Linked DNA regions of Neurospora crassa OR74A. The protein of the gene in region 3 interacts with the protein of the main gene of each other region in a pairwise test. Links are inferred from orthologs where the notes say so. Each region holds a gene or a part of one and is shown on either strand. Other genes may lie near its edges. The genes, in order: NCU09740, pp-2 and cot-1.

Region 1 (3,565 bases), about 2.5 Mb from region 3:
CACGGTGAAAGACTACTACAGCCGGTTTTGTGAAATACTCGGCAAAATCGCCATAATCTGCGATAACACATTCGGTGGACAGGCTGCCTTGGATGAAAAGTTCAAGGACGAAAAGTTCAATAGTCCTGGCCCCAAGACGCCCATGACAGACACTTTCAAGTTCTCTCGCCGTGATGATCAACAAAGCGCATACGAGCAGAAACAGGCATTCTATGAGTTGTTTCACGTCGCCGTTGAGGCTCTACCACGGTGTTTGTCGGTAGACATCCCCTTCAATACGCTGATCAACCTTCTGTGTACCGGAACCGCCCATGTCCAATCAAACATTGCGCGTTCATCGGCGCAGTCACTCAAGGCCATCGCTCGGCAGTCTCATGCCCAGCAAGTTACAATGGGGTTTGCCCGCTTTATTTTCAACTTCGACGACCGGTACTCGACCATGTCTGATGGTGGGATGTTGGGCCCAGGGCACATTGAAAAAACACTCATGCTTTATGTCGAGCTTCTTCACATCTGGATCGACGAGATCAGGCGAAAGACGAAAGATGCTGAGGCAGAGAGCGACGGACCCGGTGGGACTGACAAACGAGGCATCAAGCTTGACCTCTCGGGTATCTGGGCCGAGGTCGATCAAGTAGAAGCACATGGCTTATTTTTCCTATGTTCGCAGTCCCGGCGTGTGCGGTACTACGCAGTTACCGTTCTTCGCCTGATTACCGAATTTGACGCAGCTTTGCGGAAGACGAGCAACCACGAAGAGGAAAAAACTATGAGACTGATCGACATCCTGGAGAACGATTCGATGCAGGTCATGAGCTTCAATGATGACCACCTCTCGGTAGCTGAGCGCAGCAGATTGGAGCGAGGTTTGCAAAACTCGAACAGCCAAGGAGCCTTACTTGAGCTCTGTACCAGTGATGTGTCCTATGATACCACACTTTGGTTCAAGGTTTTCCCAAACTTTGTACGGATTGCATATGACAAGTGTCCATTCACAGTCACCATCGGCCGCGACCTTGTCTGCAACAGAATCCTGCAGCTCTACCAGGCGATAGTCATAATATCTGAGCCATCCGCAAGGATGTACTACGGATCTGATGGAAGCAACTCTCGAGTGGTTAGGACCCCAACCACGCAGCCCGAGGTGCTTGTTGAGCAGTTCAAGCTGTATCTCGTCTTTGCCTGTACGACGCTAGCAGACCCAGGCGGTGTTCAGTCGAGCTCGGCACAGAATGGTCAACACGGCCGGAAGGGTTCCAAAGCCTCTTCAACCGTTGACAAAATTGTGACGGCGCGAACATTGTTCAAGTATCTAAACCCCTTACTTGGGGCATCACTCAGCTCCGTCAGAGATGCTGCGGTTACTGCGATGGGCTCAATCAACATTCACATTTACCGCACCCTTCTGGAGGAACTATCGGGACACGTCTCCCGATGTAACGACGAAGCACGGGCACGAATCCAACCACACCAGCGCACCAACAGCAACCCAAGGCGTAACCGGAAGATGGATTTGGTGCGAACTGAAATCACTCACGTCTACAAGCTGACGGCACATTTCTTGAAACTACCAGAGGTGTATAATGACGAATGGATTCTGAATAATCTAGTCACTTATGCCAAAGACCTCAAGCTGTTCCTGATGGACGTTGAAGTCCAGATGGATTGGGAGTTCCAGAGGTTAAGGCGGCATTACTGTGGCCTCATGGAAGAGCTCTTCGAAGGCATCAACCGAACGAAAGACCCATCGCGCTGGATGACGTTTGAGTCCCGCAAGTCGGCTTTCACGCTAATGGAAGATTGGTGTGGCTTCTCACCCAACCAAGCGCAAATCTCCCAAAGGGAAGCTACCATGCGACAGTCGGTCATCAATGAGCAGGGTGCAGGCGAGCGTGGCAATGTGAGCGCCGCCATGGAAATCGAGAAAAGAAATTTGCGGACAGCTGCCCTCAGTGCCATGGCATCGCTTTGCGGAGGTCCTATTCGTGTGCTTACCGAGAGCGGCTCGTTTCTCTATTTCGACGCGCGCCGTATGCTGAACTGGATTGATGCGATCTTCAACGCGGAAAGCAATCGCATCAATCTCATCGGACGGCGGGCTCTCAAGAACCTCATCGTTCACAACCAGCAATATCCCGCTCTGTTGGATCATTGCATCTTGAAGTGCTATACGACCGAGGTCCCCAAGGTGTTGGCTAGTTACTTCACGGTTGTGGTAGAAGTGCTTTCGGAGCATGTCGACTACCCCTGTCCATTCTGGAAGCTCCTCGGTCTCTGCTTATTCACCTTGGGTAACGATCAAAGTGATATACGGTCCAAGTCGGCACAAGTCTTGCGCACAGTTGAAGAGCGGCAACAACCGGCGCGAAACTCCAAGATACAAGACTTTGATATCAGCATATCTGACAAAACCAAGGCTGTTTACAAACTTGCTCAGTTCGAAATATCCAAGCGACTGGCTAAACAACACACTGAGTTGGCATTTTACATCTTTTCCGAGTTTACTTACTACTTTAAGGAGGTAGGGTCAGTGGCCCAAAGGAACGTGGTTGCCATCATCCTTCCTTGGATTCAGTCAATCGAGCTGACCGTCGACCCCAATGGTGGTCCAACCGCACAATCATATGTGCTTCTTGCCAACCTCCTGGAAATCACCATCAAGTCGAGCGCAGCCTTGCACAACGAGGTCCAGGCACTCTGGCAGGCTCTGGCGACAGGTCCTCATCCGGGCAATGTGAGGCTGATTCTGGACTTCATCATGTCCATTTGCCTGGAACGACGGGAGCAAAATTTTGTTGAATATGCCAAGCAGATCGTGGTCTTCCTCGCTAGCACTAGCAGTGCCCCTGGAAACGAGGTGATAGAGTTTCTGCTCATGCAAATTACGCCAAAGTCCATGGTAACTAACGACAAACGAGAAGCCGTGCCGCCGCCGCCTGATATCAACACCTTGCCTTACTGTGCAGATCTCTCAGAGGTGCTCCCCATAGGGACAAAACAGGCTGGCTTCTCTCTAGGACAACTATCTTTGATACTGCTAGTTGATCTTATGGTGGCTCCAGCTTGCCTTGTTCCTGATAATGTGCCTGTGTTACTTCAGGTGGTCACGGTGCTATGGGATCACTACACTGCGCTTGTCCAAGAGCAAGCCCGTGAGATGCTGGTGCATCTTATCCACGAACTGGTTATTTCGAGACTCGATGACGACGTTCCCCAGTCCACAAGAGAAAGCATCGAAGGTCTGATCGATGCTATTCGCCGCCATGACCGGTCTGTAGTGTGGGGCTACGAAGATAGCAATGGCAATGTTGGCGCTCACGACAACAAGGTGCCCCCGAGCATGGAATATCTGACCGGCGAAATGGTCAAGACGTTCGAGATTACATTTCCCGGCATCAAAGAGAAGTGGGGCAGGCTCTCCCTGACTTGGGCAACATCTTGTCCAGTTAGACATCTTGCTTGTCGATCGTTTCAGATCTTCAGGTGCATCTTGACGTCTCTTGATCACTACATGCTAGGGGACATGATCGCCAGGCTCTGCAGTACTATTTCTGACGAGGATACT
Region 2 (4,392 bases), on a different chromosome or scaffold from region 3:
TGACAATGATCTTGAGGTCTGACCTGCGGGCGGCGATCTGCTTGAGCAGGGCCATGAGGATATCGGTCGCGAGGGTACGTTCGTGGGCTTCATCGAGAATGATGCAGCTGTAGCGGGACATGTCGTGGTCGTGCATGGACTCGCGCAGGAGCTGACCATCCGTCATGTACTTGAGCATGGTCTTGGGGCCGGTCCGGTTCTCGAAACGAATGCTGTAACCGACTTCCTGGCCCAGTTCGACATCCAACTCGTTCGCGACACGCTGGGCAACCGACATGGCCGCCACCCTTCGGGGCTGGGTACAGGCGATGAGCTTGCCGTTCGTGTGGGGGAGCTCGTCGTAGAGGACGTATTGGGGGATCTGGGTGGTCTTTCCGGAACCCGTCTCACCGACGAAGACGAGGATCTGGGTGTTGTGGTACATGTCGAGGAACTCCTGGCGCTGCTTGTGGACGGGGAGGTCGCGCCTCACTTTGAGGATGTCGAAGTATCTCTGCGAGTGCGGCTGGCCGGTCCACGGGTTGAGCTCCGAGTCCTCGGCCTGGGCGGCCTGGGCGGCGGTGGTCTTGTGCCTCTCGAAGGCGTCGAGGGGCGATTCGAAGTCGCCATTGGTGCCGTTGCCGTTGCCGTCCTCGTTGAGATGGGCGAGGTAGGGGTTGTACTTTTCGGGGGCAGCATCGCCATTCTCGGCACGCTTGATGCGCTTTGAGTCCTGGTCGTTGCCGTCCATGTTGGATCTCTTGACGCCTTTGTCGTCGTGGCTGGCCATTGTGGTACCGACCGAGGGCAGCTGGCCTTTTTTTTATATCTTGTTTCTTCGAGCGAGAGGGGTGGGTACTAGGAAACAAAACAAGAAGACCGAACTGAAGGGGAAGAAGAGAAGCGGCGATAGGCAAAACAGAAGGCGGAGTGTCGATTATGGCACCTCCAGTGGCAGTGATGAACAACAGCGAAACAGAGTGGAGGGGAGGGCAGTGGGCAGGCATGCGAGGCTACAACTTTTTTTTTGTTTGATGTCAGGGCGATAGGTCAGACCTGGCCGGCAGTTCCTGGCCGCAGCGACTCTCGACCAATGAGGGGTCACAGTGATAAGCTTCAGTGGAGTAAGGAGTGTCTTTGGCAAGCGCTGATAAGCAAATCACTGTAGCATTGGACAGGACCCTGATGGGCACTAAGACGGTAATTTTCTACACTGTTCTGTAACTGTCAGGTTCACTCAGTTTGTTCCTGCTGCACGTGAAGAAGAAAAAAAAAAGAAAGAAAAAAAGAGGCAAAATGCAGGCAGGTTGATGAAGTTTGTGACATTGTGACATTGTGACATTGTGACTTTTGGCGCATTGGGTTTGTGTGCAATCTTTCTTTCACTCAGCTATTTCATTTTCCATGTACCTATCCATCTATACCCCTCCATACCTGTTTATTTCGAGTTGGTGACCGTTGAGGTTGGACTTTTTCCTCTGGTGCTTCTTCCCTGGAAATATCCACTGCCATGGGGTCAGTCCGTTTTGGGAAAAATAAAAAAAAAGTACCATCCAACTTTGATTTCAGTCTTTACAATTTTCCCTGTGATTGGGTCCGATACCTCATCAAAGTACAGCCTATACATTCTTCTACTGTATACAGGCCCCAGAGACTAGTATAGCTACCTTCTCCGTACCCCTCCCGCTGCTGTTCGTACCACCTCAAACCTAACCTGGACCATCGCGGGGTTATTTACTTCTAGTCTCGTCCACTCTCTTTCACTCACTCGGATTCACATAAAAGTCCAGTCACTCACTCATCATGTCTTCAAATCGCGGGTTTAACCCCGAGTCCGAGTCTTTCGAGCAACGGCCGCCCTTTTACATTGGCCAGCATGATGTCCAACGACATGAGTCGCCCACTGACAATCAGTACGGCCAGATCTTGGACAGTGGTGTAAGTCTTTCCTTACATTAAAGTAGGAAGAGAAAGAAGAACGAGCAACAGCATAAATTCTAACACACATGAGATGAGAATAGTTCAACTTTGTCACCACCCCCATCACCAACGAGCACTTTCACCAGCGCGTGATCGACTTGTACAAGAGCCATCTCCAAGAACGGGAACAGTGGGTCACCGAACGGGGACTCACTGACGCCCAAAAGGCCAACCCGTCGCTGCCACTTCCTACGGTTCCTACCTTGACTGACGACGATACATCCCTGTTTCCCAGCAGCTATGTTGGCTCGCTCATCGCCTATGCCAGCCCATGGATCGACCTCTGCTCTGCCGATCCCATCATCTCAGACATCTCCCGTCAGGTGCTGAACCTCGAGCTCGCCTACGCCAACTTCTGCGGCTCCAGGACCATCATTATCCCCGGCCCAAGACAGGACGATGGCCGTGCCGTTGCTCAGTATGCACGTGCCATTCAGGAGGCTCAGGAAGTCGGTGGTCGTGTGAATCTGGTCATTCACTTGCCCATGTACCGCGAGCCTGGTTTGGAGGAGGAGGCAGAGACGCTTTCTTCTCTCCTTGCTGGTGACGGTAGTAGCAGCTCCAACTCCAAGGAGACCGTCAAGACCGATGCTGCCAAGGGCACCGAGATCGATCTCTTCAGCACCTGGGACAGTTGGCACACCATCCGGACCGTCTGCAAGTACAGCGGTCGTCTGTTTGTTGCCCTGCGCATTCCCAAGCGGGTACCTGAAAAGGACCTGCAGGAGCGCTGGTTCTCCGAGCCGCTGCACTACCTGACCCTCGATAAGAAGATCTTCTCGCTGAACAAGGCCGGTCATCCTTCCCTTACCCGCCATCATCAGGACTTGATCAACCGTTATATGCGCCTCAAGAACCACCCGTGGCTAATCCTGATTAATGTCGGTCCGTCGACGGAAAGTCTCGTCGAGGCCCCCAGCAAGATGGAGGTTGACTTCCCTCCTTTGTCCGAGGCTAGCAAGGCAGTCAAGGAGAACCGCAAGCCGTATGCTCCTCCCTACAACGAGTACGTCGATTACATGAAGTACCTCGAGAGACACCAGCCCCCTTATTCGGCCATGGAAACTCCTTCGCTCGTCAGCTTCCAGGACTGGCTCCAGTCCCCTCTCCAGCCGCTCTCGGACAATCTCGAGTCGGCCACATACGAGGTCTTTGAGGGCGATCCGGTCAAGTACGATCAGTACGAAAAGGCCGTGGCCGAGGCCATGCTCGAATGGAAGAAGTACAACCGGCCCGTCTCCTCCGTGACGCCCGAGACGCCCGACGGCAAGGACCTGATCGTGGCCGTCGCCGGCGCCGGCCGCGGCCCCTTGGTTGCCCGCGTTCTCCGGGCCGCCGCATCCACCAACACTCCTATCCAGCTCTGGGCTCTGGAGAAGAACCAGAACGCCTACGTCTACCTCCTGCGCCGCAACAAGCGCGAGTGGAACAACTCGGTAACGGTGATCAAGACCGACATGCGCGAGTGGGAAGGTCCTCGCCTCGCAGCCAACCCGAACATCATCACCAAGCTCGACATTCTCGTGACTGAGCTCCTCGGTTCCTTCGGCGACAACGAGCTTTCCCCGGAATGCCTCGACGGCATTCAGCGGCACATTGCCCGCCCGCACGGCATCTCCATCCCCTACTCGTATACCGCCCATCTCTCCCCCATCGCGCACCCGCGCATCTTCGCCGACCTGTCCAACCGCGTCGTCAGCGACCCCAACGCCTTCGACATCCCCTGGGTGACACGTCTGTTCCAGCTCGCCTACGTTGCCCAAAAAGTGCCCAAGCACGGCCGGTTCCAGCAGGCCTGGGAGTTCGTGCACCCCGTCGAGGTGTCGCGGGCCGACGACTTTTCTGCCCAAAACGGGCGCGCGCGCAAGTATGTTACTCACGGCAGCGGCAGCATGTACGGCTCCAGCGGCATCAACGAGCATAATGCTCGGCACTGCCATTTGACGTTTGTCTGTCCCACGAGAGGTGTGATCCATGGTCTGGCGGGCTACTTCGAGAGCGTGCTGTACAAGCATCAGGAGGAGGGCAAGACGCCAGTAGAAATTAGTATCTTGCCAGATCAGATTGATCGGAAGAGCAAGGACATGATTTCCTGGTTCCCGATTTTCTTCCCTCTTAGGGTGAGTTTTTATCTCTTCTTCCTTCATTTCTTGTTTTTCTTGACTTTTCGCTCCTCGCTCCTGCTTTGGTGACGATTACTGACCCTGTTTCTTCGACGATACATAGCAACCCCTCTACTTCCCTCAGGACACCGAGCTAGAAGTCAGCATGTGGCGCCAGACCGACGACACCAGGGTGTGGTACGAGTGGATGGTTGAAGTGTATGCTTGGGTGGGTCCCAAGACCCGTATCAAGGTTGGCGCTTCTGAGATGCATAGCAGTCGTAAGGTTGCCTGCATTTTTGGTTAGAAGAGAGGAAATGTAAAAACGGAG
Region 3 (4,137 bases):
GGCGCATGCAGCTTACTGTGACGGCGCGAGGGGTATCGTAGGGAGAGATCGGGGGGTGGTTCTCGCGGGGGGCGTCACAGTTGGAAGACAACTTGAAGAGGACGACGGGATTCCGTAACGATTGTACGGACTACGGACAGCGACTCCGTAGGAGCTCCGTTGAGGACCTTGGGGCCGGTGCAGCGGAGCACCCGACTGCCAAAATTCCCGGACACACTTTCTTATCGCGATAAGCCGATAAGCCATTCCCGCGGCGGCACCCACCTGCATCTTTCATCGCGTTTAGTGGTTGTGCACGGGCCATATGCGAAGGTCAACCGCACGTCATGCCAGTGACACTTGAATTAACTTTTAGTGTATAAATGCAGACCACGCAGACTTGGAACGGCCCAAGATTTTATCTTGAGAGTTCCAAGATAGTCTCATGTCTGGACTTTACTCTCATAAGTTGGGGAATTTAGTCAGCCCTATTGAAGCAGGTTCCATCTTTCTGAGCCAGAACTATAGGTTCTAAAAGCGTCTGCAAAGGGTACCTGAGCTTGTATAAGTCGGGCTACCTGTTCCGTGTTCTTACTTTCCCTGGATTCTCTGCTGAAGCATCGTAGAGGATGTCTCTACAGTAGACAATTGTATACTCGGTCGTGGCGACTTGGGCTTCATGTGCTGTCAGCGATCATGATGACCTCTTGCGTGATCAATGGGCACAACTGTTCCGAGACGCTGCAACCCCTGAAAGAACAGGAGCACCCAGGGAAGATGCGGTGTCGATGGCGCTAAGCGTGTTCACCCCACCTTCAGCTCCACCAGGATGCCCCTTCGATCAATTGCAGACCCGGGAGTGCCCGCTCCCAGCCAGTAACAAATTCCCGGACCAGAGTCTCGATGCTCTCGAGGTCCAATGCCGTTGCGTCGAGCTTCAACACTCGGGGGACTGGTGGTTTACCTATAGTGTGCTTGTGAGGCACGAGAAGATGGCAGCAGTGCGGAACAGACAGCAACGAGTTGACGTCTGACGATGAGGTTGGAGTCAGGGGTTTTCAGGTTGACCAGGGCACCCCATAGTTAGGTGGTCCTGTTTCGGCCTGGAGCTCACCACTGGACCTGGGCATGTCATCCCAAACATGGAACCCCTCTTTCTACGACCTCCTTATTCCTGGGCATCGTGTACTAGATTCACATCGAGGCCAGCTTCCTGTGGCAACAGAAAACGGAAACGTAAAGATGCTCCTAGTTGTCTGTTGTTATTCAAGGTGTCCTTTGAATGCGCCCGTGGCTGTCTCATATCATCACAGTCTATGTCTTGGTCACTTATAGATGGGATCTGTTAGGTTCCATGTCACCTCTATACGTCTAGGTCTTTATTTATACTGATACCGCAGGGACCCTGCCCCACCTGCTTCCCTTCCGTTTGTCTGATTCGTCCGTACCTAGGTTCTCCGAATTACAGCGCCCTGAATCGCCTCCAGCCAGTGCTCTCCTGTCAGACTCCTTCCTGTAGGTAGGCTGGAGAGGCTCACGTCGGTCACGCTTCCACTTTGCTTCCACTTCCACACTGCGCCTATCGACTGCACGTTCCAGCGGGACACTTCCACTTCGGACGGTGCCACTCAACCACCTGCCCCCCCAGCCTGGCCGCCCTCGATTCCCATCCCTACCATCTACAGTAGCCAACCGTCGTTCGATCCTCGTTGGACCCTGGTCCCAAGAAAAAGCAACCTCCTTTCCTCCCGTCTCCCCATACCTATCCCGTCTTGTACACAAACCCCTTTCTGTGCGCATAGATCCCATCGATCGGTCTGGGAGCTCGACTCTGATCGTTTCTCCATCTGCCGTCCCTCGGAATCTCGTCTGAGCTCGCTTGCGCCCTTCCCGCTACATACACCCGGAATCCACTGTTTACCGTTTAGAGACAAGGTACCAAGATGGACAACACCAACCGCCCCCATCTCAACCTGGGCACCAACGATACCCGCATGGCTCCAAACGATCGTACCTATCCCACCACCCCGTCCACCTTCCCCCAACCCGTCTTCCCAGGTCAACAAGCCGGTGGTTCCCAGCAGTACAACCAGGCCTACGCCCAGTCCGGCAACTACTATCAACAGAACCAGTATGCCAGCCACTACGCCCCTCCTGGTGCCGCCGACTACGGCTTCGTTCAAGCTCATTCTAACATTGACGGTACTAGCAACGACCCCAACACTGGTCTCGCCCACCAGTTCGCCCATCAGAACATTGGCAGCGCCGGAAGAGCCTCTCCCTACGGTTCTCGTGGCCCATCTCCCGCTCAACGCCCTCGCACATCCGGAAACTCTGGCCAGCAGCAAACCTACGGCAACTATCTGAGCGCCCCGATGCCTTCGAATACCCAGACCGAGTTCGCTCCCGCTCCCGAGCGGAACCCCGACAAATATGGCCCCAATGCCAACAACAACCAGAAGAAGTGCTCACAGCTGGCCTCTGACTTCTTTAAGGACAGCGTCAAGCGCGCCAGGGAGCGCAACCAGAGGTGAATGCTGCAGCGATGCGCTTTTGCCCCTACATCCCGCCGTGATCGGTGCTGACACCCTTTTCAGACAGAGCGAGATGGAGCAGAAGCTCGGTGAGACCAACGATGCCCGCCGTCGCGAATCGATCTGGTCAACCGCTGGCCGGAAGGAGGGCCAGTATTTGCGCTTCCTGAGAACCAAGGACAAGCCCGAGAACTACCAGACCATCAAGATCATCGGCAAGGGCGCTTTCGGCGAGGTCAAGCTCGTGCAGAAGAAGGCCGACGGCAAGGTTTACGCCATGAAGTCGCTTATCAAGACGGAAATGTTCAAGAAGGACCAGCTTGCCCACGTCCGAGCAGAAAGAGATATCTTGGCCGAGTCGGACAGCCCATGGGTTGTCAAGCTCTACACCACCTTCCAGGATGCGAACTTCCTTTACATGCTCATGGAGTTCTTGCCCGGTGGTGACTTGATGACCATGCTGATCAAATACGAAATCTTCTCGGAGGATATTACCCGTTTCTACATTGCCGAAATCGTCTTGGCTATCGACGCGGTCCATAAGCTGGGCTTCATTCACAGGTAAGCTTCGCCGGAAGCAATGCTCTGGAAAAGAGATACTGACACGGTTGTGCATGCAGAGATATTAAGCCAGACAACATCCTTCTTGATAGGGGTGGTCATGTCAAGCTTACAGATTTCGGTCTCTCTACCGGCTTCCACAAGCTCCATGATAACAACTACTACACACAACTGCTCCAGGGCAAATCCAACAAGCCGCGCGACAACCGCAACTCGGTTGCTATTGACCAAATCAACCTGACGGTCAGCAACCGTGCACAGATCAATGACTGGAGACGCTCCAGACGTTTGATGGCCTACTCGACCGTCGGTACACCAGATTATATTGCTCCGGAAATCTTCACTGGCCATGGTTACTCGTTTGATTGCGATTGGTGGTCTTTGGGTACCATCATGTTCGAGTGCTTGGTCGGCTGGCCTCCTTTCTGCGCCGAGGATAGCCACGACACTTACCGCAAGATCGTGAACTGGAGGCACTCGCTTTACTTCCCGGATGACATCACCCTTGGTGTAGATGCCGAGAACCTTATCAGAAGGTATGCATGCTTTTGACTTCCCCCAAAATCACGCGCTCACCATATTGACTTGTCATAGCCTCATCTGCAACACTGAGAACCGTCTCGGCCGTGGTGGTGCTCACGAAATCAAGAGCCACGCCTTCTTCCGCGGCGTTGAGTTCGACAGCTTGCGTCGCATCCGTGCGCCCTTCGAGCCCCGTCTTACATCCGCCATCGATACCACATACTTCCCTACGGACGAGATTGACCAGACGGATAACGCCACGCTGCTCAAGGCTCAGCAGGCCGCTAGGGGCGCCGCTGCCCCTGCGCAGCAGGAGGAGAGCCCAGAACTCAGCTTGCCTTTCATTGGATACACGTTCAAGCGTTTCGACAACAACTTCCGATAATTGCGTTACGTCTTCTCGCTGTCTGAATAATGAGCGTTGGTTTTCTTGGGGGGGAGGAAGGGGGCGTAATAGTGATGGCGAAAGGGAGAAGAGGTTGTGCTGCGGGGCGGCAGTATCTGGGTACCCCTTATACTTGGCTTTGACGTCTTTGCTAGC

What was found.
Region 1: the proteins of cot-1 (region 3) and NCU09740 interact in a two-hybrid assay, tested with the Schizosaccharomyces pombe proteins (2 studies listed by BioGRID). The link is inferred for Neurospora crassa OR74A from reciprocal best matches to the Schizosaccharomyces pombe genes orb6 and mor2.
Region 2: the proteins of cot-1 (region 3) and pp-2 interact in a two-hybrid assay, tested with the Schizosaccharomyces pombe proteins (2 studies listed by BioGRID). The link is inferred for Neurospora crassa OR74A from reciprocal best matches to the Schizosaccharomyces pombe genes orb6 and skb1.

Annotation. Positions count from the first base shown.
Region 1 is NC_026504.1:1,962,679-1,966,243, forward strand, and holds part of NCU09740 (cell morphogenesis protein), read left to right. Parts: coding exon 1-3,565. UniProt on the Schizosaccharomyces pombe protein: Required for the maintenance of cell polarity. Has a role in localizing F-actin at the cell tips.
Region 2 is NC_026502.1:2,954,793-2,959,184, reverse strand, and holds the start of pp-2 (protein arginine N-methyltransferase HSL7), read left to right. Parts: upstream 1-1,484; 5' UTR 1,485-1,782; coding exon 1,783-1,917; intron 1,918-1,990; exon of another isoform or gene 1,991-2,000; coding exon 2,001-4,079; intron 4,080-4,185; coding exon 4,186-4,368; 3' UTR 4,369-4,392. Other genes in the region: NCU01612 (pre-mRNA splicing factor ATP-dependent RNA helicase PRP43), read right to left, coding at 1-769. UniProt on the Schizosaccharomyces pombe protein: S-adenosyl-L-methionine-dependent protein-arginine N-methyltransferase that can catalyze both the mono- and symmetric (type II) dimethylation of the guanidino nitrogens of arginine residues in target proteins.
Region 3 is NC_026504.1:4,484,470-4,488,606, reverse strand, and holds the start of cot-1 (serine/threonine-protein kinase orb6), read left to right. Parts: upstream 1-1,285; 5' UTR 1,286-1,922; coding exon 1,923-2,110; intron 2,111-2,188; coding exon 2,189-2,509; intron 2,510-2,576; coding exon 2,577-3,074; intron 3,075-3,133; coding exon 3,134-3,610; intron 3,611-3,668; coding exon 3,669-3,981; 3' UTR 3,982-4,137. UniProt on the Schizosaccharomyces pombe protein: Interacts with pak1/shk1 and coordinates cell morphogenesis with the cell cycle. It is essential for maintenance of cell polarity and is involved in mitotic control.